4 linked regions of the Drosophila melanogaster genome follow. The protein of the gene in region 4 interacts with the protein of the main gene of each other region in a pairwise test. Each region holds a gene or a part of one and is shown on either strand. Other genes may lie near its edges. The genes, in order: PolZ1, udt, CG12645 and CG13627.

Evidence for each region.
Region 1: the proteins of CG13627 (region 4) and PolZ1 interact in a two-hybrid assay, tested with the Drosophila melanogaster proteins (one large-scale study listed by BioGRID).
Region 2: the proteins of CG13627 (region 4) and udt interact in a two-hybrid assay, tested with the Drosophila melanogaster proteins (one large-scale study listed by BioGRID).
Region 3: the proteins of CG13627 (region 4) and CG12645 interact in a two-hybrid assay, tested with the Drosophila melanogaster proteins (one large-scale study listed by BioGRID).

The regions. Positions count from the first base shown.
Region 1 is NT_033778.4:7,791,833-7,799,666, forward strand, and holds the start of PolZ1 (DNA polymerase zeta subunit 1), read left to right. Parts: upstream 1-1,792; 5' UTR 1,793-1,863; coding exon 1,864-1,995; intron 1,996-2,053; coding exon 2,054-2,283; intron 2,284-2,340; coding exon 2,341-2,585; intron 2,586-2,642; coding exon 2,643-2,890; intron 2,891-2,948; coding exon 2,949-3,393; intron 3,394-3,462; coding exon 3,463-3,579; intron 3,580-3,641; coding exon 3,642-4,046; intron 4,047-4,103; coding exon 4,104-4,188; intron 4,189-4,253; coding exon 4,254-4,340; intron 4,341-4,398; coding exon 4,399-7,086; intron 7,087-7,151; coding exon 7,152-7,834. Other genes in the region: Gapdh1 (glyceraldehyde 3 phosphate dehydrogenase 1), read right to left, coding at 290-1,288. UniProt on the Drosophila melanogaster protein: As the catalytic subunit of the DNA polymerase zeta complex, plays a crucial role in translesion DNA synthesis (TLS) and various DNA repair mechanisms. Lacks an intrinsic 3'-5' exonuclease activity and thus has no proofreading function.
Region 2 is NT_033777.3:23,760,198-23,764,768, forward strand, and holds udt (undicht), read right to left. Parts: upstream 3,067-4,571; 5' UTR 3,033-3,066; exon of another isoform or gene 2,938-3,032; 5' UTR 2,909-2,937; coding exon 2,860-2,908; intron 2,771-2,859; coding exon 2,352-2,770; intron 2,234-2,351; coding exon 1,422-2,233; intron 1,364-1,421; coding exon 784-1,363; 3' UTR 540-783; downstream 1-539. Other genes in the region: SdhD (succinate dehydrogenase, subunit D), read right to left, coding at 48-163, 255-297; Lsd-1 (lipid storage droplet-1), read left to right, coding at 4,116-4,119, 4,189-4,487, 4,552-4,571.
Region 3 is NC_004354.4:10,151,707-10,155,514, reverse strand, and holds CG12645 (uncharacterized protein), read right to left. Parts: upstream 1,904-3,808; coding exon 1,570-1,903; intron 1,513-1,569; coding exon 1,365-1,512; intron 1,186-1,364; exon of another isoform or gene 1,131-1,185; coding exon 992-1,130; 3' UTR 506-991; downstream 1-505.
Region 4 is NT_033777.3:24,711,159-24,717,967, reverse strand, and holds CG13627 (uncharacterized protein), read right to left. Parts: upstream 5,189-6,809; 5' UTR 5,062-5,188; coding exon of another isoform or gene 4,993-5,061; 5' UTR 4,877-4,992; coding exon 4,871-4,876; intron 3,185-4,870; exon of another isoform or gene 2,991-3,184; coding exon of another isoform or gene 2,985-2,990; intron 2,919-2,984; coding exon 2,361-2,918; intron 2,251-2,360; coding exon 883-2,250; intron 822-882; coding exon 660-821; 3' UTR 538-659; downstream 1-537. Other genes in the region: Polr2L (RNA polymerase II, I and III subunit L), read right to left, coding at 64-172, 256-350; CG46316 (uncharacterized protein), read right to left, coding at 4,993-5,061.

The sequences.
Region 1 (7,834 bases), on a different chromosome or scaffold from region 4:
CACTGCATATCTCAGCAAGTCCGCCCGATATAACCTTCACACGCCCTTGGGCTTACACAAGCAACGTTCTTCATTCGATGCACAAGTTTTATTTTTCAAATAGCTGGCATTTAAATACAGTAACAGGGCGATACTTTATTCAACAACAATAAATATGTAGCTTTGCGTAATTATGGCTATTTTGTGCATTTGAAAAAAAAGCATCCTCAATTGCGCCCCTTGCGGATTATGCAACAGTGATTCCCGACCAGCTGCTGGGCGCCGGGTTTGTACGATAGTTTTGGCTAGTTTAGTCCTTGCTCTGCATATACTTGATCAGGTCGATGACGCGGTTGGAGTAACCGAACTCGTTGTCGTACCACGAGATTAGCTTGACGAACTTATCGTTCAGCGAAATGCCAGCCTTGGCGTCGAACACAGACGAATGGGTGTCGCTGAAGAAGTCGGTGGAGACCACCTCCTCATCGGTGTAGCCCAGGATTCCCTTCAGGGGTCCCTTGGAGGCCTCCTCGACCTTAGCCTTGATTTCGTCATAGGTGGCTCCCTTGCCCAAGCGGACGGTAAGATCCACAACGGAGACATTGGGCGTGGGCACGCGGAAAGCCATGCCGGTCAGCTTGCCGTTCAGGGCGGGGATGACCTTGCCCACAGCCTTGGCGGCTCCGGTGGCGGCCGGGATGATGTTCTGGGCGGCGCCACGTCCATCGCGCCACAGTTTGCCAGAGGGACCGTCGACGGTCTTCTGGGTGGCAGTGGTGGCGTGCACGGTGGTCATCAGACCCTCGACGATCTCGAAGTTGTCATTGATGACCTTGGCCAGGGGAGCCAGGCAGTTGGTGGTGCACGAGGCGTTGGAGACCACCTTCATGTCGGGGCTGTAGGCGTCCAGGTTAACGCCGCACACGAACATGGGCGCATCGGCGGATGGGGCCGAGATGATGACCTTCTTGGCGCCGCCCTTCAAGTGGGTGGACGCCTTGTCAATGGTGGTGAACACTCCGGTGGACTCCACCACATACTCGGCTCCAGCACTGGCCCAGTTGATGTTGGCCGGGTCGCGCTCGCTGAACACGGTGATCTTCTGGCCGTTCACCACCAGGAATCCGCCCTCAGCCGCAACGGTGCCCTTGAAACGACCGTGAGTCGAGTCGAATTTAAACAGGTAAACCATGTAGTTGACATCGATGAAGGGATCGTTGACGGCCACCACGGAGGCGCCCTTATCGATGGCGGCGCGGAGCACCAAGCGGCCGATGCGGCCAAATCCGTTAATTCCGATCTTCGACATGGCTGAGTTCCTGCTGTCTTTTCACTTTTACTCTCGTTCAGTTTCAGTTCGCTATTACGACTGCCGCTTTTTCCTTTTCCCGGAGCTTTTTTCGCAAATTAGGAGAATGGCGCTGCGATGGCGGGGGAGGGTTGATGAGTATTTCGCTAGCTTTCTGCGTAGGTCACACTTAAATAAAGCTAATGTGAAATAAATCGATTAGAATTCCATTTAAAACTTTAATTTTTACAAAGGGTTTGATTATATAAGCGCCTTAAAAAGAGCCTCTAACAACTAATGATATATATGGGTTGTAGGACCCTTTACGTAATTAAGTTTATACAAAAATTAGCATTGTCAAGTATAAAATTCCTTCATCTTGCACTAAAGTTTTTCTTAACATTGTTGCCAAGTTAGTTCTTTAAGTTCTAGAGCTCTTCTTTCAATTTAAAAATATTTATTTTACGTTTTTGCCCTTAGTTTGAATTCAAAAAGCAACAATCGATAGATCGATACTTTTCGATACATGGTCACTCTAGTTTGAATTGAATTGACAACAAATAGCTCTGCGAAAACGAATCTGAGTTTTGGCGAAAATGGCAGCCGCAGGAGAGGCAATCGATGGAGTCTACTCCGTCCGGCTGGTCATCGCGGATTTCTATATGGAGAAGCCGCAGTTCGGAATGGATCCGTGCTATTCGGAGCTGCGCGGCAAAGAAATCAAGCGGGTGAGCCGGTCTATTTCACCACAGTAAAAACTGGTATAACGATCCATTCCACTTCCAGGTGCCAGTGATTCGAGTGTTTGGCGGCAACTCCAGAGGCCAGAAGACCTGCATGCATGTACACGGAGTTTTCCCCTATCTATACATTCCGTATGACAAGAAGGATTTTGAGTCCCTGGAGCGGGGCATCCTGCAGATGGCCATGCACCTGGACAAGGCCATCAACATATCCTTGGGTCAAGGCAGCTCCAACGCCCAGCATGTGTTCAAAATTCAGCTGGTCAAGGGCATGTGAGTTCTTTCTGGACGACTTCTTGGCGTAAATCTCTAACCGACCTCTCTTTACAGACCCTTCTATGGCTACCATCGAGTGGAACACCAGTTCCTCAAGATCTACATGTTCAATCCCCGGTTCGTACGCCGCGCCGCCAACCTTCTCCAAAGCGGCGCCATTCTGAGCAAGAACTTCAGTCCGCACGAGTCGCATGTGCCCTACATTCTGCAGTTTATGATCGACTACAATCTGTACGGTATGAGCTATGTGCATGTCCCGCTGGAGGTTCTCAAGTTCCGGCGCAACCATGACGATGACGGCAAGCTGGATACATCATCTATTTAAGTTCCTAACTAACCCGTAACTAACCCTTTAGTAATCCCCTATGCAAATGTCAAGCAAGCGCAGCTTCTGGACATCACAACCGCTAAGAAAGTGGCCTGCAGTGCTTTAGAGGTGGATGTCAGCTCGAACTTCATACTGAATCGGTTCCAGCTGGTGGCGAAGAGTAAGAGCAACCACACTAACCCCGGCATCGAGGCCATCTGGAATGATGAGAAATTGCGCCGACAGAAACTTGTCGAGAAGCACACCGATGCTGGCGATGAGGAGAAGGCTGAAGCGGTAATCCGGGAATACATCTTGTATTGATAAATCCTACAGCCTTGTCCATCCATCGTAGGTGCCAGTATTGGAGTTACCGCCAACACAGGAGCGGCATCAAATTGAAATCGCCGAAAGCGATATCTTCTACCGCACCGCTCTGGAGAGCAAGCTGATGACACTGGAGCAGTCCACACTGTCCGAGCAAACGTTGTCGGATCAGACAATCCTTCCCCAAGCAACCATGCAGACCACCATGCCCGGCACAAAGGCACAGAAACGCAGGTTTAACTTGCAAAAACTTCTAGCCAACGCCGTTTATCCGGAGGAATGCTCACAGGATCAGCAGCAACTGCTGGTTAATGCTTCCTTCATACAAAACCATGTTACCTGCGGCTACAGCAGCAGTGTCAGTTTGTCAACCTCCAAGGATGAGTCCGATGACTTGGACGAAACTGTAGTGGATGAGGAACTAATACTGAGCCTCACACAGCCTCATGGAGCGATACCCCATGATGCCACCTGTGAGTACACGGTTGCCAAAATTACAACTCGCACTTTGGTATAAACCAGTTGTTTTCTCCTTGCTTCAGTGAGGGAGGAGGATTTGGAACTTTTGGACGCGTTGCAGCTGTTGGAGGAGCAGAATGAAAGTGAATCGCATGTGGACTTAGACAGTTCGTTGGCTCCATTGTCGCAACATAAAAAGTGTGAGTTGTTGTGAAATGGAGTTGTTTTTTAATAAATGTTTTACACTGATCTCTTTTTGTAGTCGAACTTACACCCGAATTGTTGGACAAGGAGACCGCAGCTACTGCTGCTCTTTTCGACGAAGATGTTGACTCCGACGAGGATGCCGACCAAGAAACCCGACATGACTTCTCTACCGTCCTAGACGATGTCGATGAGTTGTTGCTTAAGTTAACACAAAGTCAGCCTGCGGAATCGAAGGAACTGAAAGCATCTAGTAAACTGCCCCAAATTGATGGTGCTGATGATCGCCTACAAAGGACCCCCATTAAATCGATCAGCTCTAAGTCAAAGTCAAGTCCTTCAAAGACTCCAACAACGCCAATAGGTCAGAAAAGTCTTCCCAAATCGCCACGTACTCCGAAAACCAGTGCAGCCAAGAAATATGCGCCGCTGGCTTTGACAATTGGAAGCAGTTCATCAAAGAGTGGGTAGAATTGATAACGATCACACGAATTTTTTTTGCAATCATAACCAATTGCAGAAAGCAACGATGAATTCGCAGGGAGACCATCTAATCCACGCCTCAGTTTGCAGCTAGACCAAGGAACCGGAACGGGAACACTTCGGTAATCAAATTCTTTGTTTTCATCATATGTACCAACATTTCTATGACCAACATTTTTGTTCGTAGGCCAGAAATCTCATTGCGCAAAAAACTAGCCATGTCGGAGATGCGACGGAAAAGTTTCGAGGACAGTTTTGTGCTCTTAAAGAACGAGTATGGTTAACTGATATCCTTTATGGCAAGGCGATTTATATTATTGTTTTCCCGATAGTTGTACTCCAGTTAGGAGTACCAGACGATCAACTAGCAATCTGGACAAAACACACATTATTTGTTCCCTTACGCCGAGGGACAGAAATCCTGGCTTGAGCGACATGTTCGAAACAGAGGACGGCAAGCAATTACCACCAAAGAAAGTAGTAAGAAAGACGCGATGGAGCACTCGGAATCAAGATATAGAAAGTCTACCCAAGGCCGGTTGTGAGATAGAGAGACCCCACAGGTCAGAAGGAAGTGCCTTGGATGAGCTGAAGCCGCGTCGCAGTGCTCGCCATAAGGTTAATTCGGCAAATCCAGATGAGTGTTCCAGCGAAATACAAACAACTGGGCCACGAGTGACGACTACAAGTTTGGATAGACCTCAAAAGAAAGCCAGACTATCCCAAAGTCCCAAAGAAAATACTAAAACAAGCATGAATGGAACTGTTGCATTGGAAAAAGCAACAAAAGATAGTTCATCTAACTCAGAGAGTCCGCATCAGCAGGAAAACTCTGTTTCTGAACAAATCGAATATCTCGAAAGTAAACCAAAAAAGTCTGATGAAACTGCACGAAGCTGTGACGAAAAGTTACAACGTGAGCTAATTCCACAGGAACCAGCTGGTATTTCGCCTGGAGATTCAGCAAACTCCACGGAGGAGATCACATTTAGTCCATGCCATGATGAGGCTATCGAATCCGACACGGAAAGCGATTATATAGTCACCAAACTTCGTAAAACACCCAACTTGAAACGCCTTCGATGGAGCATTCGGTCGGAGTTGCTGAACAAACAATTTACTCCCAGTTCAGGCATAAGACCCCCTGAGACTGAGACCACTCCTCAGCTAAGTCCCAAAAGCAATGAGAGCAACACACCGGAGCTGATGCGAAGTTTCTATGAGCATTCGCTGATTGTGAACAGTCCGTCGGTCTTCAGTGACTTCTTGGATAGCCCCGAGATACATATGGATTCTCCTAGGTCTGCTCCTCCATCTCCCGATAGCAACTCGTTCGTGATTGCCCCCTTGGAGCTGCCTCCATCCTACGATGAAGTGGTTAGCGGTAGCCGTAAAATGGACATACCCGAGTACGAGTTCCAAAAGCCATACTACAGCAATCCCTCCGATGTGAGCAAGGTGACGGAGGTGGGCTTCCTGGTGCTCCACATTCCGGGGAACAAGCTAAATGACTGTGATCCCTTCCAGAGCATACTGGGCAATGATCGTGGCCTGGCCTCCTGGCGTCGTCGGCAACTGATAGCCATTGGTGGCCTGGCAATGTTGCAGCGACATCGGGGAGAACAAAAAGTACGGGAGTATTTCAGCACGCAACAAAGAATAGCAATCGAGCCAGCACAACTAGCACCCACCTGGCAGGAAGCCAAGATCTGGTTGAAAGCCAAGGAACTCCTTCGTCAACGAGAGGAACCAAAAAAGTCCTCTGATGACATAGACAGCCCCATCAAGATCAAGCGGCAGAAGATCACTATGATGCTGCAGGCTGAGGAAGGCGATGGCGGAAGTGGCGATGAAGATGCTGGTGAGGAACTCGATTGCAGTCTAAGTCTAACGCCCTTGTCCCAAGCTAAGGATAAATGCAAGGCAACCCCTACCAGTAGCAAAGCCAGAGAAACAGGAAAGAGTCGCCTTAAGCGCGGAACTAGGCTCAGCTTCATAGGAAGCCAGGACGAGGAACCACCAAGCTCGCAGTCCAGCGAACAGAGCGTCTCCAGTAGTGCGGCCCAGGCGGAGCTAGATCGTAGTTCCTTTCTGCGCCAGTTAGAGGGCAGTAGCCAGGATAGGCAGCACGACCTCAGCTTTGGACTTAGCCACGCTACCTTGGACAACACGTTCGGGTTCAAGGTTAATTTGGAGAATCTGCAGCAGGCCAAAGCCGACATTGATTGCAACCACCTGACAATCATAACGTTAGAGGTGTTTGTGTCCACGCGAGGTGATCTCCAACCAGATCCGATGCACGACGAGATTCGGTGTTTGTTTTATGCTATCGAACACAGTTTGCCGGATGAAAAGCTGCCTAGCAAAGCCTGCGGCTATATAATGGTGAACACTGTCCAGGATTTGCTAAGTGAAGGACCTTTTCATGGTATAGATCGCGATATTGAGGTGCAAGTAGTGACCAGTGAAGCGGAGGCATTTGAGGCGTTGCTGGCTTTGTGTGAACGGTGGGATGCGGACATATACGCAGGGTACGAAATCGAGATGTCCTCTTGGGGCTATGTGATTGATCGGGCCAAGCATCTGTGCTTCAACATCGCTCCTCTGCTGTCCCGAGTGCCCACACAGAAGGTCCGGGACTTTGTGGACGAGGATCGGGAGCAGTTCACCGATTTGGATGTGGAAATGAAGCTCTGCGGCCGCATTCTGCTGGACGTATGGCGCCTGATGCGCTCCGAGATTGCACTGACGTCGTACACCTTCGAAAACGTAATGTACCACATTTTGCATAAGAGATGTCCCTGGCACACTGCCAAATCCCTCACCGAATGGTTCGGCTCACCCTGCACCCGCTGGATAGTAATGGAATATTACTTGGAGCGTGTGCGTGGCACCTTAACTCTCCTGGATCAGCTGGACTTACTGGGACGGACTAGCGAAATGGCCAAGCTCATTGGCATTCAGTTCTACGAGGTGCTGTCGCGCGGCTCACAGTTTCGCGTGGAAAGCATGATGCTGAGGTGAGTGTAACCCTTGAGCGCAGGCAAAATATGTTGCATCCTCCCTGAACTCTCTGTCTTCATAGAATCGCCAAGCCAAAGAACCTGGTGCCACTTTCACCCAGCGTCCAGGCTCGCGCTCATATGAGAGCTCCCGAGTACTTGGCGCTAATAATGGAACCGCAGTCACGATTCTATGCCGATCCCCTAATCGTGCTTGATTTTCAGAGCTTGTACCCCAGCATGATCATCGCCTACAACTACTGCTTCTCCACGTGCTTGGGTAGAGTAGAGCACCTGGGTGGAAGTTCGCCCTTTGAATTTGGCGCGTCGCAGCTCCGAGTTTCGCGGCAGATGCTGCAGAAGTTGCTGGAGCACGATCTGGTTACTGTTTCGCCATGCGGCGTTGTGTTCGTGAAGCGTGAAGTGCGCGAGGGCATCCTGCCGCGCATGCTCACCGAGATCTTGGACACGCGCCAAATGGTCAAACAGTCGATGAAGCTCCATAAGGACAGCTCTGCACTTCAGCGGATCCTTCACTCACGGCAGCTGGGCCTTAAGCTGATGGCCAATGTTACCTATGGCTACACCGCCGCTAACTTCAGTGGCCGAATGCCTTCAGTGGAAGTGGGCGATTCTGTAGTTTCCAAAGGACGGGAGACCCTGGAGCGTGCTATCAAACTAGTGGAGAACAACGAGGAGTGGAAGGTGCGTGTCGTCTATGGCGACACGGACTCCATGTTCGTTCTTGTGCCGGGTCGAAATCGAG
Region 2 (4,571 bases), 950 kb from region 4:
TTTAGTATGATTAGCCACCACTGAATTTTTCAACTCTAAACACTTACCGCTACAATCTTGGCCACGGCCAGGGGCTGGACCACCGCCTTCCGCTGGACATTGGCCACCAGGGTGGAGTAGCTCTTCAGGGGAGTGATGCGAGCCGACTTAACAAGATTTGCGGCTAATTGGGATACCAACAAACGGTTTGGTTATATAATGAAAGCTGTTTTGCGTCCAATAACAAGGCGATTTGCCATCCAGTGGGTCCTTACCATTGCAACGGACAGCGCCACGCAGAAGCAACGAGAGGGACATGTTGGGATGTGTAAATATTGAGAATTTTCAGCTCAAAATAAAAACTCTATCGCTCCGTTCGGTTTGGGCCGATTTGTCTAAAAAATTACACAGCACTGGGCTAGTGCAGTCAGCTGTCATCGATTTGTTATCGGTAAACAGTAGCGGTCAAGATATTGTCCCACAATAATAAGGGAAGCCCAGTAAAATATTTTGAACTCAACAAACAATTAAAGGGTGTAATAAATAATAAGAAAACATTTAGTTCAAGGCATTTATTTAACTGCTTTAATTATTTGCACAATACATTTGAGATTCGTTTGGGACGGAATGGCTGTTACACGTAAAAATTGTGATGATCTTACAAACTAAGTTTAAAATTTGCTTAAAACTTTCTAAAATTCGCATTCTAAGGCACGCAATTGCTCCTAAAAGTGACTTTATGTTGGTTGTAAAATTTTTGTAAATTTCGTTGGATGGAATAGTTAAAAAATACTTTTGATATTATTAAGCTAATAAACTCCTAACCTGGACTAAGACCACGATAACGAGGCCAGTCAGTTGAAATTTTAGTGTCGCTGCTCCTGCTCGGTAAAAGTCCCAATCAAATATGATGTTGGAGGCATCCGACGGCTTCCAAGGATTCAATCCGTCATCGAAGTGCATGGGACAGTCGTCACGCTCCCTTTCGTACTCCACGGCATCGATGGCTACGGCAGCGCCCTCCGAGTGGTTCCACGAGGTCACATCTTGCTCCAGTTTGCAGAATGCGCCCACAGCCTGCGACATGAGGACACGGTTGAGGTCGGCACGCTGATAGACCCAGCAGCGATACTTGGACAGCGGATCCAAATCGTCGTACGTAATCAGGTAGGACTTGAGGTTCTCCTTCCAGAAGCCAATGCACTTCATGCGGTAATCGGGATCACTGTAGATATCAACGGGACGACCCAAGTGATCCACCGACAGGCAATAGTTTTCATCCACCGCCAATTCCTTTTGATCTGTATCGCAAACCGATAAATCCGAGATGTTTTGCTTGCAATGGATATCGGGACGCGGACTCAGAGTGACACCACCAAGAATTCTGTGAAATATACACATTAATTATACGTTTCATGCTACGATTGCAAAACATTACAAACCTCGTTCTGAAGGGATGCTCTCCTCGCTGCGTAAAGTTGAATTTTCCCGCAACGGGGCAACGAACAGGCACAGGATTTCGAGCAAGAAACAGATCATATTTCCATGCCTCCGAATTGGGGAACTGAACCCAAGAGCAGACTGTACTAAAATCGTCCTTGATCACAGCCAAACCCTTGCGGTAGCGAATGATGTTGTGGTGGCGGGGCATAAAGTCAAAGCACACGTAATCCTTCTGGCAACCGTCGACAGTGAGGCGAGCCATCATCACACGATTACCCCGTCGCTCTCGGCAAACATAGATTGTCTTTCGGTATCGAGCTTTATCCGGATAGTACGTCTCGTTTATGTGGGTCTCACTGATCGAGACATCGGCATCAATGTTGGCAGTGTTCACCCATTCTCCGCTAAAGTTTTGTGGTAGCGTGCAACCGGGTTCCACAAACTCAGCCTTCACTGGCGTCAGCTTTAGACGCTCCGGTGACGTTTCTGGCGTCTTCAGTGTGTTACATTCGGCCGTAATGGAAACGCCCACGTAAAGATCATCGTCACGATTCTTAAGGAAGCAGCGGTACTTCTCATCCTTACGCGACTCCTTTGTGTTGGCCACGGCAAAGTAGTGGTTCTTGCCCACAAACCAATCGCCCAGGCAGCTGAACTCCACGGTGCCGGTGAATGTGCCCTCCATACCCTCGCACTGCTGATAGGTGACGTTGAACTTCTGGTTCTGGATGAGGAACTGCGTTCCTGCCGTTTGACAGGACTGAATGCGAGCGTCGGGCTTATCGCATACGCCCGTGAATCGGAATCGGTTCTATAATAAAAGTTCAAATCAAGATCACTAATCAACATAAAATGGATATGTTTCTAGACCCTTAACTAAACCGCACCATGTGCAAATTATGTGATCTATGAATCTATTTTGATCTTACCTGGTACGTAAAATGCCACACTCCCTCCAGCGACGATCGGCAGTTGATGGGCACAAAGTTCTCGTTAAAGAGCGTTATCAACTGCTGGTCATCCTTAACACCACGACACACATAGTCCACGGTGGGTTCCTGTCCAGCGGGTATGCCCACGCAGGGCCCCTCAAACTTTTCGAACACATTAAGGGTGCGGATGATGGTCCTGACACAGTGATAGCAGTCCTTGGATCGCTCCTTGAAGACAAATGAGTACTCGTCGCCCTTGTGGCGCATGTAGTTGATGCAGTAGCCTCGGCTGGACATCGAGGTGGCGTCGATCACCGTCAGCGTGGGCAGGCCCGTTTCCCACGAGAACCACGATCCCTGCAGGATCTTTGGAATGATGCAGTTGTCCTTCTGCACCAGGTTGTACTGACCGAGGGCTGTAAAATGGATGGGCTTTAGTTTCGGGTGGCCAATTCACATGATTCACTTGGAGCCTTGGGTGTGGCTTGGGAATCGAATCACTGACCTGAGCCCATTAAGCCCACCAGGCAGATAGCAGCCAGGTAATAATGCATTGCGTGTTTGGTGTCCTCAGAACTAACAACTAAACATATTTATTACAATTTACTTTCAAATGGAAGCAACCAAAGGCGGTTTTAGTCAGAAACAATAGCAAAACACGCAACAAACACAAATTACCAATGATGGGCAAAGGCGACCTTACTAACACTGGCTTTAACGAAGAGCTAGCTGCACAGCACTGGCTGATAGCTATTAATCCACTCTTTATCAAATTGAGCGTTACTTTTTGAACTTAAAAATAGAGATTAATATTATTTACATATATGTATTTTTTTACGACTTTTCCTGGATAATCTAGACTCAAGTTTATGCTGTATGCAGCATAACTACTTCGTTGTATGCAATAGCTAATACAAATATATAATATCAACTCTTTTAACAATTCCTAAGAAAAATCGTTTCTATTAAAACGCTTTTTAGACTTACTCTATAATCTTAATGACACGTACTCAGACAACAAAGAGCTGTAAAAGATTAACCCAACCATACATTTTGTAATGAAATATTATTACTTGAACCTCAAGTTTAAATTTTTAATTAGCACTAGTTGAGCTATTACATACACATTGCCGTTTAATACAATTAGATATGAGATTTATTAATAAAGCTTAATTTATAAAAAAAAATGTTTCCATATCTATATATAGATTTGAATAAACACGCTTTTTGCAGTCTAGGGTTAATGGCAATGGAGTCTGGAGCCCCAGAAACGGGCACATCGAACCCGAGGAAGAACGCCCCCGCAATTATTCAACGGACTGCAGTTTGAACCTTTTCGTCACTTGTGCGGAATTAGCACAGCAATTTTCGCCATTACCGCTGCTAATCGGGTCATATATGGTGCGATTATGATCGCTGTACAGATATTCCTGGAATGTGATTCACATGCACGGAGTTCCTAAGCTGCAGTCCCCATATAGTACGTTCGAACTTTGGAGTCCCACACTAGTGCGAATGGCGTGTTTGCTGATAAGTCCGGCGGAGCGTCTAGGTGAACGGTGTTTGTGCCTCCATCCACGCCTTATCTGCTGGCAAAGGTCATCTTGGACTCCGAGCATGATCGGCGATCAGACAGCGGCGATTTGGTGTGCCAAGTCTATATGGTAGCAGCTCGATCGGAGGCCTGCCAGTATCAATTGAGCCGGCGACAGCAACAGTTCTCGCATCTCAACCGAATCTTCTCGAGAAATCCCAACACAAATGGGTTAGTGACACGCGCTGCCTGGTAGTGTCAACCCCCATTAATAATACGACTTTAAATCTTTGAACCCAGCAACTGCAACCAGCGGCAGTGGACTCCATCTGGAGGCCATCGATCGCATCGGCTCCATTCCCCTTGTGGAATCCAGTGTGAAGCGGGTGGAGACCATCTACGATAAGGTGAAGAACAACAATAGGCTATTCTCATGGTATTTTGAGACGGCGGAGGCCACCATTTCGGCCGCCTACGAAACCATCCAGCCGGCGGTCAAGCTCTTCGAGCCATCCATTCAGCGCCTGGACAACGTGATGTGCAAAAGCCTGGACATTCTGGAGCAGCGCATACCACTGGTCTATCTGCCGCCCGAAATGGTAAGTAGTCGGCTAGTAACTCCCCCCCATGCGCTGACAAAAGGGCATAATTCTCTGCTTGAAGATGTACTGGAACACCAAGGA
Region 3 (3,808 bases), on a different chromosome or scaffold from region 4:
GTAGCAATAATAAACTGATGCGTGGACAAAGCGGCGTATACTTGATGCGATTGAGTTTTAGCTTCCACATTATTCCACCAGCTCGGCCATAATGCTCTTTTGGTCATTATTGTTGTTGGCGGCACCGTGAACCGACTAATTGTCGAGCTCTGTCCTTTTGTTTCTCGGCCCCGCAGCTGTGGCCTAGTCAATCCATCCATCCATAGCTGGGCTTTCAGTAACGGTTTTTGGCCCATTCGTCGAAGGCCATGTTGCGCTGAAGGCTGCAACGTACGAGGCGCTAATTGAATTTGCTGCCACCGCTGGCCAATTGCAGTACCAAAAATTGAACAAAGCCGCGCAAAGCACTGAAATAGGCAGAAACCTCGAAAACAAAAAAGCGCAACTGGAGGCCAAACAACTGCGGATGGTTCAAATTCTGGGGACACTCTTCTCGATTTCGGGTATATAAGTTCTTGGCAAAAGATTGCATTTGCCCTTTTGCCCAATTACATAATAGTTTCTTAGACATATTTATAATTTTATTGTTATATTTAAGTAATTGTATCTAAATTGAATACTCTCTTCTTTTTTTTGCAGGGTATCAAATAACGAACAGCATCCACAACAACCAGCACTCGTTGGCAGGATGTGCGAAACGGAGTGATGATGAGGCAATTTGTTTAGGCCAGTTATGCATCATTTGGGCGACAGGGCAGTTCAGTACAGAGCATGGCAATGGTAATCGGTGTATGGTGTCCGATGTTGAAAGGATTGTGGATTGTGGATTGCGGATTGAGGACGAAGGACGATGGGCTTAGGTAGGCAATTCGATTTGACGGCGCACAATTTCCGGTCGCGCCCGGCACTGCGTTACTCATTACAAGCGAATAAGCGCCAAGTCCTTGCGGTCAGAAGCGCGTGCCGCCCCACTCAGCTTTATTCGCACACACGGAAAACTTTCACAATTAGCGGCCGGATTCCGGCTGCGATCCTGCAGGATATTTCCGGACTACCGCCGCCGGCAGCAGCAGCAGCAGCAGCTCCTCGGATAATGTGCGCCCAGAAAGATCTCGCAGGCGGAGCAGTAATGATTCGTTGTCCGGCAGCCATTCCATAGATACGGAAACAGGCAAGCGCAGCAGCACCAACTGAAAACAAAAACATAGATACATATATACGGATATGAGTATATCAAAGTTCGAGGTATGTAAATCGAAAGTTACTTTATCTATTTCCATTATTTCATACGATTTTTGAAAGTTTACTCATCATTTTGTTCATATTTAGTGTTAAGTACTTGAAACTTAGCACTTCTGAAGCTAACAACGTTTTGGGTTAAAAGTTAGTTAAAATTTTCAAACTAATTTAAATACCCAACTCACCCAAAAGTGCACAAGCAGAGGGCCCAAAGGTTAGTCCGAGCATTAGGTGACCTCTTCAAACGGGTGACTCCCCGTTGACCACAAGCTGGGCACACGATGTCCATCGCCTGGCTACCCAGTTTGGGTTGCGGGCTTAGGATAAAGAAATCTGGCCAATACACAATTTCAAAATATGCAATCGAATGAGTGTTCAGTTCATAGTTACCATCGCACTTACTTCTCACTGGTGGCATTGCACGATGATCGATGCTATTGTTGTCCGCTAATCCTTCCGATTGTACGCTCACCTCGTCTTTCGTTTGGGACATCGGCATCGGCATCGGCATTTCCTCCACCCTGGACCTTAGATGTTGGGGTTCTGCAAAAAGGGTTCTTCGCCGATCGTTGGAATAATCCAAATTATTCTGAATCGTAAACGTTTGCATTGCATCATAGTAGGTCGGCGGTTCCGATGGCGACAAGGACATGGGTCGCTCTATCTGCAGATCCTGGCCGGGATCCTGGTCTTGGAACAACATGCGATGCTTCTCTTCGGCCATTCCAAACCCTTCTGTTGGGCCAGTTTCGCCCTACGATGGTTTTTATTCCTTGGCAAAAAAGAAACAACCAGCCAAAAACAGTTGTCGATGATAGTGAAACATTCTGGGCCAATTAACCAGCTGCTAGCGATATCAACGAGTCACCCCAATAGAAAACTCCACAGTTGGTCAAAAAGTGCTTGAAATGGAAATGGTCTAGCTGAATCACCTTTATTTCATCGTCGTTGGAGAATATTGTCAGCTTCCGTTTCATTTCCTGTTCATAACTTTTGCAATATGTGCTGCTGACCGCTTGCACTGGCAACACAAATTTTCAAATGCTCAAAAATACACGTAAATATTTTTACAAAAATTTCTTAAAATTATTTGAAGTGTATAAATATCTCTTTAAAACGAGTTGCATAGAATGTTATGAATCAAAATCTTATAGTGTTGCTATTTCTCGCATAGAGTTTTCCACAATGTATTCCTGTTTGCGTATTCATTTTTGTTTTTCTGTTTTCCTTCAAGTTTTTTCAATATTTTCCAACGACACGATGAGGATGGAAAAATGTGAATGAAATTCTGTTTGCCACTTTGCATTTAATTAACTTTATCGCATGCATGTAAATAGTATACAGGCGCAAATAAACTAAACAGGTATACGGCAAATTATAATGAAAACTTTCATTTGCATACGGATAACTGACATATCTGGATTAGGTAAAAAAATATACCTTTAGTTTATCCAAAAAAAAAAAAGGAACGTTCTTCTTTACATTGCTTAAACTAACATTTATCGTTGTCCGTTAAATGCCTGAACTTTCCTGATATTAAATTTGCCTGTTTTTTTTTTAAGGTCTTAAATTTTATTTATGAATTCCAGGGTGTGCCAACCTTTGATTTGCTTACTCCTGCTGTTGTTGTTCCGCCATCTGCCATTCAAATGGGAATCGGGTTTTTTTGGGATCGGGGCACTGAGAGCTGTCGCTGCATAAATTTGCAGTCCATTTCAAGTTGGCTCATCGCTTTGATGTTTGATTTATTGCACGCTGTTTGTGGGCCCAATGGGGGGGGGGGGGGGTGTGATAGGGGATTGAATAGGGGTCAAGGGGTTAAGGGGGGGTGGGGTCCGAGTGCCATGCCGTGGGCTTATCGGCCGACATGCCAGACAATTGTGAATAGCAACTGCAATTGAATTTGACAGCGGCGGAGTGAATGGGGACCAACTCGCGTATCAGGTGCTGACTTGGGTACGCAAATAAATGTATGAGGCGGGCAAATAAATCTGTAAAAGGGTTCGCATTCCATTATGGATCCTGACATTTGTCTATTTATGCATTCTAAAGGTCAGCTATCAGGGTTTAAAAATGGAGCTACATAAATAAGTTAGTTGTTAAAGGTTAACAGGGGCGTATCTTTATTATTGGATTATTTATTTATTTACATTTATTCCTGGCAGTTCATTTAGTTCATTAAATTCTTACATTCAAATTAAGAGCACTCATTTGGGCCACTCCTTGCTCGATAATCCCGACGATTGGCCTTCGTTTTTTGGGGGTCTTGGGATTTGGCTCAACATTCGTTCAACTGATTAAACTGTTAGCTTATTTTCGCACAGACCGCCTATAGCTCTCTCTCTCTCTCTCTCTCTCTCTCTCGCTCTCTCTAGCAGAAGCACCTTCTCTGTCGCACTGATTGCGGCTTTGGCTGAAAATGTGTGCAAATAATATTTCGTGTAATTGCAATTAGCGCCAAAAAGGTTTTCACCGTTCACAGCTGCTGAATGGAGCAGTCGTATCTTCATCTCCATCAGCGCCCACTTTTCACCACGCTTTCACCACCGCCCATATAATCTGCCTCTTTCACTTTTTTTTTATATACAAATATACATACATATATACGTGTATATACATATATATTTAT
Region 4 (6,809 bases):
TTTTACAATAAAATCTAGAGTTTTTATTCCCAAGTCCAGTTTGGATGGTTTCCATTGTGCCGTTCACTTCTCCAGAGGAGCATAGTTGAGCAGTTTTTCGATAAGATCCACGTGGCCCAGGAGCATGCGACGGCAGCAGTACCTCTTTAGACCCAAAGCATCCAGGGCATCTCTGGGATTGGATTGTAAGATATAATATATATATATTATATGATGAAATGCGGCGTGGAAAGGAGACTTTCCCGCGTGACTTACCCTTCGGTGTATTCCGCTTGCAGGAGACCCAAATACGACTCCCACTTGTTGCCAATGACCTTGCCGCAGGTGAAACAACGGATTGGAATAATCATTTTGTAGATCAGGCTCTAATTCTTAGTTAAATCACGAAAAATGTGCAATCACAACAATGTTTTTGGTAAAATGTGTTTTTACTTGTCATGAGTGTGACCAGAGTGCAGTTGTATTTTTATCTCACCAGCATTACAATGTATCGATAACACAAAAACTTATATCCATTCAAAAAGAACGCTAACGAATATTTGAATAAATTAATGGTTATTTTTATTAACTACCGACTGCTCGCTACATGAATGCGTTTTTTACAAATGAGTGTGTAAATAAATATTTTTGAACAGCGTCGAAGACTAAAAGTGCGTTAACTAATTACTGCTGGCCGTGAGATGCTCGCCGGCCACTTCGACGGAGGTGGATACCTCGAACAAATCTTTGGCTGACTCCTCGCTGTCGCCGTCGTTCCGACCCGCACTGGACACATCCTCCACCGTGCCCTTTTTCACATCATCCGATCTCTTTTGCAGTCGCTATACAAGGAAAGTCTCAAATGTTAGCATACGGAAGAATTTCTTGTCTAATTTTACCTACCGATTCGGCGGCCTCCTCGTCGGGCACAAAGATGCGAAGTGGCGTGTTGGCGCCAAGTTGCTGCTGCACCAATCGCTGGTGCTCCTCGAATGCACTTGCTGCTGGATCCTGAGCCACCTGCTGCTGCTGCTGCTGTTGCAGCTGCTGCGGCGGATGGTGCTGCACTGGTTGCTGCAACTGCTGTTGCTGCTGCTGCAATTGCAAGAGCTGCAACTGATGCTGCTGGTGTTGCTGCTGCAAGTGTTGCTCCTGTGCCTGTGCCTGCAGTTCCTCGAACTGCTGCTGTTGCTGCTGCTGGTACTGCGCCTGAGCCCTCAGCTCCTCCAGATGCAGCTGATGCTGCTGCTGTTGCTCCTGGGCCTGCGCCTTAAGCTCCTCCAGATGCAACTGCTGCTGCTTTTGCAGCTCAATGGCGGCTTGCTCTGTTTCCAGTTGCTGTCGACGTGCCTCCTCCTCTGCGTAGGCCTGCAGCAATTGGGAAGAGTCGTGGGCATGGCCATAGAAGTTGGACACCACGAAGCCACCTTCCGGAACGGAGGCAGTGACCGCTGACGCCACATTGGGCAGGTGGAAGGAGGCCGTCTCGTAGGCACCCTCATTGGGATCACCCAGTGCCGGAGCGGCAATAAGAGCAGCATATTGTGGCGCCGAATCAAGTACAGGATGGATGTTGTGATGTGGATCCTTGGCTGCCTGCAGTATCTGTCCATTGCTGGCTACCTCCTGGGTGAGATCGGCGTTCACGTAACCCGTTTCCACCACCGGTTCCGAGCTGGGCTTGAAAAGCTGCTGCTTGTGGGCCGAGTACAGTTGGTTGGACTGCGTCACCAGGTAGGTGGGATTATAGATGGGAATGTGGGCAGCCGGAATGGCGGCGATAAAGGACTGGGAGTGAACCGCCGGCTGGGCATACTGAATGGGATAGATCTCTGGCGCCGTTTGGGCTGCCGTCTGGGCTCCCACAATCTGAACCAATGGCTGGGCTGGCAGATGGTTACTCTGGACGTCGGCGGGCAGCGGTTTGTTGTTGCTGGGCGTATTGAAAGATTCGGTGGCGGGGCGAATCTTGGTGGTGGGCAGCGAGGGATCCGGATCTGGGGCAAAGAGTTTCTGCGAACCCGAAATGGGATCACGAATGGTTTGGTCATTGGTCTCGTCCTCATGCACACTGTACTTCGGTGGCAAATATGTCTGGGGACGGGCTGAGGAGGATGGTGTTTGGATCTGGGTCTGGGAAGGAGGCTTGTACAGGTAGGAGGTGTCAAGATGACCCTCCTCCACGTCCAGGTGATTGTCGGCCAGGTTCGGTGCGGGTACCGTGTAAATGGGTGCAAAGTGCTCGGTGTTGAAGTTGTTGTGCGTGTCCAGCTGTGGGGGATCAGCATGAATGGAGTTATGTTATATGTTCAGGGGAGTGGGGGGCATGTGCAGTATAAGGATATCTTAAGAGCAGGACATTTTCAATGGACTCCACTTACCGGCAGATTCTGCAGCTCGCTGTAGCTCACAGCAGTGGGCTTCTCGTACTTAAAGGGCTTGTCGTATCCGAATGTGGGTTTCGTCTTGGGCTTCACATTGTTCAGTTTGATCTTCAGTGGTTTCCTTAGAGATCCAGCTGGTTTCAGGTACACGGGCGACGGACCACTCAGCTTCATGGGACGAGGTGGTCCGCGTAGGTGCTGATGCTGGTACTGATGTGGCACATGGATCAGCGGATGCGAGTGTAGATGGGCATGTGAATGGGCGTGCGACAGGACATGTGCAGGATGCACGGAATGCGGATGGGCCAGATGGGCGGCATGGCTGTGCGCTCCATGTCCAGGACGACCCTTCAGTACCAAGGGCACCGGTTGATCGCTGCGTATTTGGACGACCAGCGTGCGCTGCTTTCCAGGCGCTCCAGCGGATCCAGGACCTCCAGCTCCAATGGCGGGACGACTCAGCTGCTTGGAGCTCTTCGGTGGCCAGTTGGTGAAAACCAGTGGACGCTGCTCGCAGTTAGCCAGCGCCAGGAGCAGTGCGAACAGCAGAAATGGCTGGCGAGGATGGGATGGGACAATGTCAAAGACCATTAAATCAAAAACATAATTACTCGTACATACAGACATCGAACAAAACGCCGAAAGAAATAAAAACTTTCTAAGCCCGGCAAAGGCGAAGAAGAAAAAAAGGGGCGGTGAGGAAGGAGGAGGGTCTTGTAATCGCTGGACAGCAACAAAACTGTAATGGCCTTAATTTGAACAAATTGGCGGTTTTCTAAAATTTTATCACGTCGCCTGCCATTGGCTACTTAACCAAAGCTGCTTAAGCAAACGAGCCAAACAAAGTAGCTTCGCATTTATAAATATACATACATATATATTTATACGGGTATGCCATAATACTTTGCCCATTTTCCCCGCTTCGATGGCTGATTAAACTTTCTGTCCACAATGCCATAGAATGAAAGTGAAAAGTCCGTCATCGAAATGTCTTCGTTCTATAAATTTTACTGTCGCATTGTTTACAATTCGGCGGGTATAATGCATCACTGACTCATTTGGTGACACTTTCATTGAAATTGGCTTTAGAAACTTACAGCCTACCTTATACGTTATATACGAGTATTTTGGATTTTTCATGCATTTTATATAGGTTAAAGGGAATGGCTCTATTAGTTTAGGTATAACACAATAACGAAGAAAGAAATACATATCATGCATCTAATAAATTTATTAAGGCGTAAAATGTCAGATTTTTATAGAAACATATATAGGAACCATTAAAATGAAATGCATGTTATTCCTTGAAAAGAATGAGTATGTGCCTCTTCAGCGCGGCTGGCATGGGTCTCTTTAGTCTCGTCGATGGAAGGGGAAGTGGGTAATTTGAGGCGGCCACTGGACATTGAAATTTCACCTGGGCAGCGCACCAGCAGAGCCACTGGAGCCACCGGAGCGGCGGCAATGACAATGGCAATACGGTGTGCCGTTAGCCAGACGTCAATCAAGAGGTGAAATGCCTAGGCGAGTCCAATACGTATAGTTATTGATTACGTGCTGCGTTTGCTTAAACGGATTGCCGATTGCAACTGAAACTGACTGCAGCGGCGGTGATCGGGGTAATTGCCACAAAATTGGTGGCTTATTGTTTATGGAGTGGTTAGTTAGTAAGTTAGTTAGTTTGTCGCCATTGCAACATGCATCATAATCATATGCAAATACCAGGGGCGGCCTGCTGGTGAATGAACTGCTGCCAGGAGACGGGTGCCCGATGCCAAACACTGAAAAGTCTGGCAGGGAATGGCCCACGGCGACGGCGGATAACCCGTTCAACGAAAGTCCAAATGGAATTCGCATAATTTCGGGTTTCCTTTTGGGCTTGGCCGGCAGTGCCATTGAACCTGACAAAGGATTTTTGCCAACGGCCTAGGCGGAACTATTGATCAGCGGGCTGTCGCCACAGCGTCGACCATAAACAACGGTGTGGTTAACCCAAATTGCAACTCGAAATGCAACTTTTATTTTAGCGGCAAGCATTTTATTTTCAAGCCCGCTGCACATTGAGGCAGCCGCCTGTGCCTCACAGTTTGCAGCTTGCAACTCACAGTGTGCGATGCAATTGGTGCACGTAAAGCCATCCATTGTCTGGATCTTGGCGAAACTTGGCGCATCAAGTGCTCCCATTGCAAATGAAAGTGCTCGCTTTGCCGGCCACCTTGCAATTTGACAAATATTCCGACGACTTCAATTCAATTGAAGAAGCTACAGCTTCATTGTGCAGCGATTGCAATTTGCTGGCTTTGCTGGCGAAGGTGAAGGTGATACCAAATTTGAATGCCAATCTCAGTCTGAAGTCGTTGATCGCCGATGAGAAGAAGAAATGCCATTGAATTTGCAATAGAAATTAAAGCCAATCCATTATTGTGTTATGCTGTGCGCAGTGAGAGACTTTTTAATAACCGCTAATTGTGGCCAACAAACTCACAATACCCGCGTGAATCACTTACCCTCATCTTCTTTCGGATTTGCTAGAGATTTTCGTTGTTTTATTGTCGGGTAGCTGGCTGATGGATCTGGTAGACTGTAGAAAGCTCTGGGGCAAATGTCGAGCAACTTTTGGCTTCTTCTGCTACTCCAGCAGCAAATAGATGAAGATCAAAATGGCAATTAGGTATATAATCACGTCAATTAACTTCATGTCAACGAGCGCCGCGGCGCTTTCTTCGATCTTAAACTGCACGCACAAAAGATTTGTAAAGAGTTTCGAATATAAATTCGAGGAGCAGCGACGTCCGCACCTGTTCAAGTCGCGAAGACAACTGACTGTTAGTTGGTCGCTGGTGGCGGACAAAAACCATGTGCCCATCCGCTGGAGTTCCACTGGAATGGAGTGACGACTCGCATTGGAAGTGCGCACTGAAGAAAGTGGTCGGATTTTCTTGACTCTGGCGCCGAATGAAATACAAAAAAAAAAAAATAAAATAAATAAAAAGCCAACAAATAAAACTAGTTTGCAGTGGATAAAGCGCAGCACGCGACCAGCAGCTACATGAATTGCCAGCAAGTGGCCGATTAATCGCAACGAAAGTGTTTTCCCATTGACTGTTCTTGGCCGGCGAAAGAAAGGAGCGAAAGAGACGGCGCCAAACAAAAGACTTAAGCAGCGAACTTGTTGTCGTCGCAAGTCAGCACTCGCTCTTTACCTTAAAAAGCAATGCGGACCAGGCGCACATGATCAAGAGATGGCCCCCCAATGCCGCCGTCTGTCACCTGTTGGCCCCACTTTTTAAGTCTTTTTTTTTGCTGGGGCAGCAAACAGGAGCAGAGCCACCGATTGAAATTACGAAATGCGGCAGGCACAGTGGGGAAAATAGCAAACATTTTAAAGCGGAACCAAACAATATTTTGGGAATAATAAGATATTATTATAACATTTTCATACTTTTTAAGATGTTGCCAATATTTTTCCAATAATTTTAAACTCATATTTAACTGCATTAAATATCTGGCTAAACTCGTCGAAGACTCAAAGGAATGCGTGAAAGCTTTTTCGAATTAGTTTTTGTACGGAAGTCAGCTCAATTGGGGGCTAAGGGTTTCGTAGAAAAGCTTGAGCTGTATTTTAAGCGATATTTGATGGTAATGTAACTTAATTCAGATGTGTCCCAAAAACGAATGGATGCAATTTCCATAACCAATGGATTCCGTATGATAGGCTTCACATTTCGGATGTACATATACCAAAGGCCCTTCGATGATAATGAGACATGCTTATGAAACGCTCCCCAATAATTGGTCGCATTTTATGCAAGGCGCGACATCCAATTTCTAAACGCAATTGGTCATTGGAATTTTATAACGCCCGGCCAGCCATTTTTTGGGTCAGTATTTGGCGGCCCAAAGTTTTGGGACATAAATCAAAATTTCACTTTCATAAAGCTCTCAGTTTGGTGGTAATTTCTTTGCTATTTTTTTCCGTATTTATATTTTATTTTGAAATATTATTTTTAACAAGGTTTTTTAAACATTAACAACATAATATTATTATTATACCTTTTATTTCATACATTTATCATTTCTTTTGGTTTTTTCTTTCGGTTGCGTTTTAGACAAATGTTTAAAATATGCATTTTTAGCTCTTCAATTTGTTATTTAAAATGTTGTTTATTTTTTGTTGTTTTTGCCTTTGCAGGACCATTTTAAACTAATTTGTCATTTTATGCTTTCTGCTCTGATTTCGGTTTAGTTTACTTTAATTTCAATGTAAATTAATGAATTTTTTTTATCGCTTTTTACGTTTTATTTATGTCTACTTTTACGTTTTCCGTTGTGTAAATATACCTCATATAAATAGCGAGTAAAAACTAAAAAAATGTAACTACATTAATATGATTTGCATTGTTTTTTTTTTTTTTGGGTTTGCATTATTTATACAATTTATTTAGC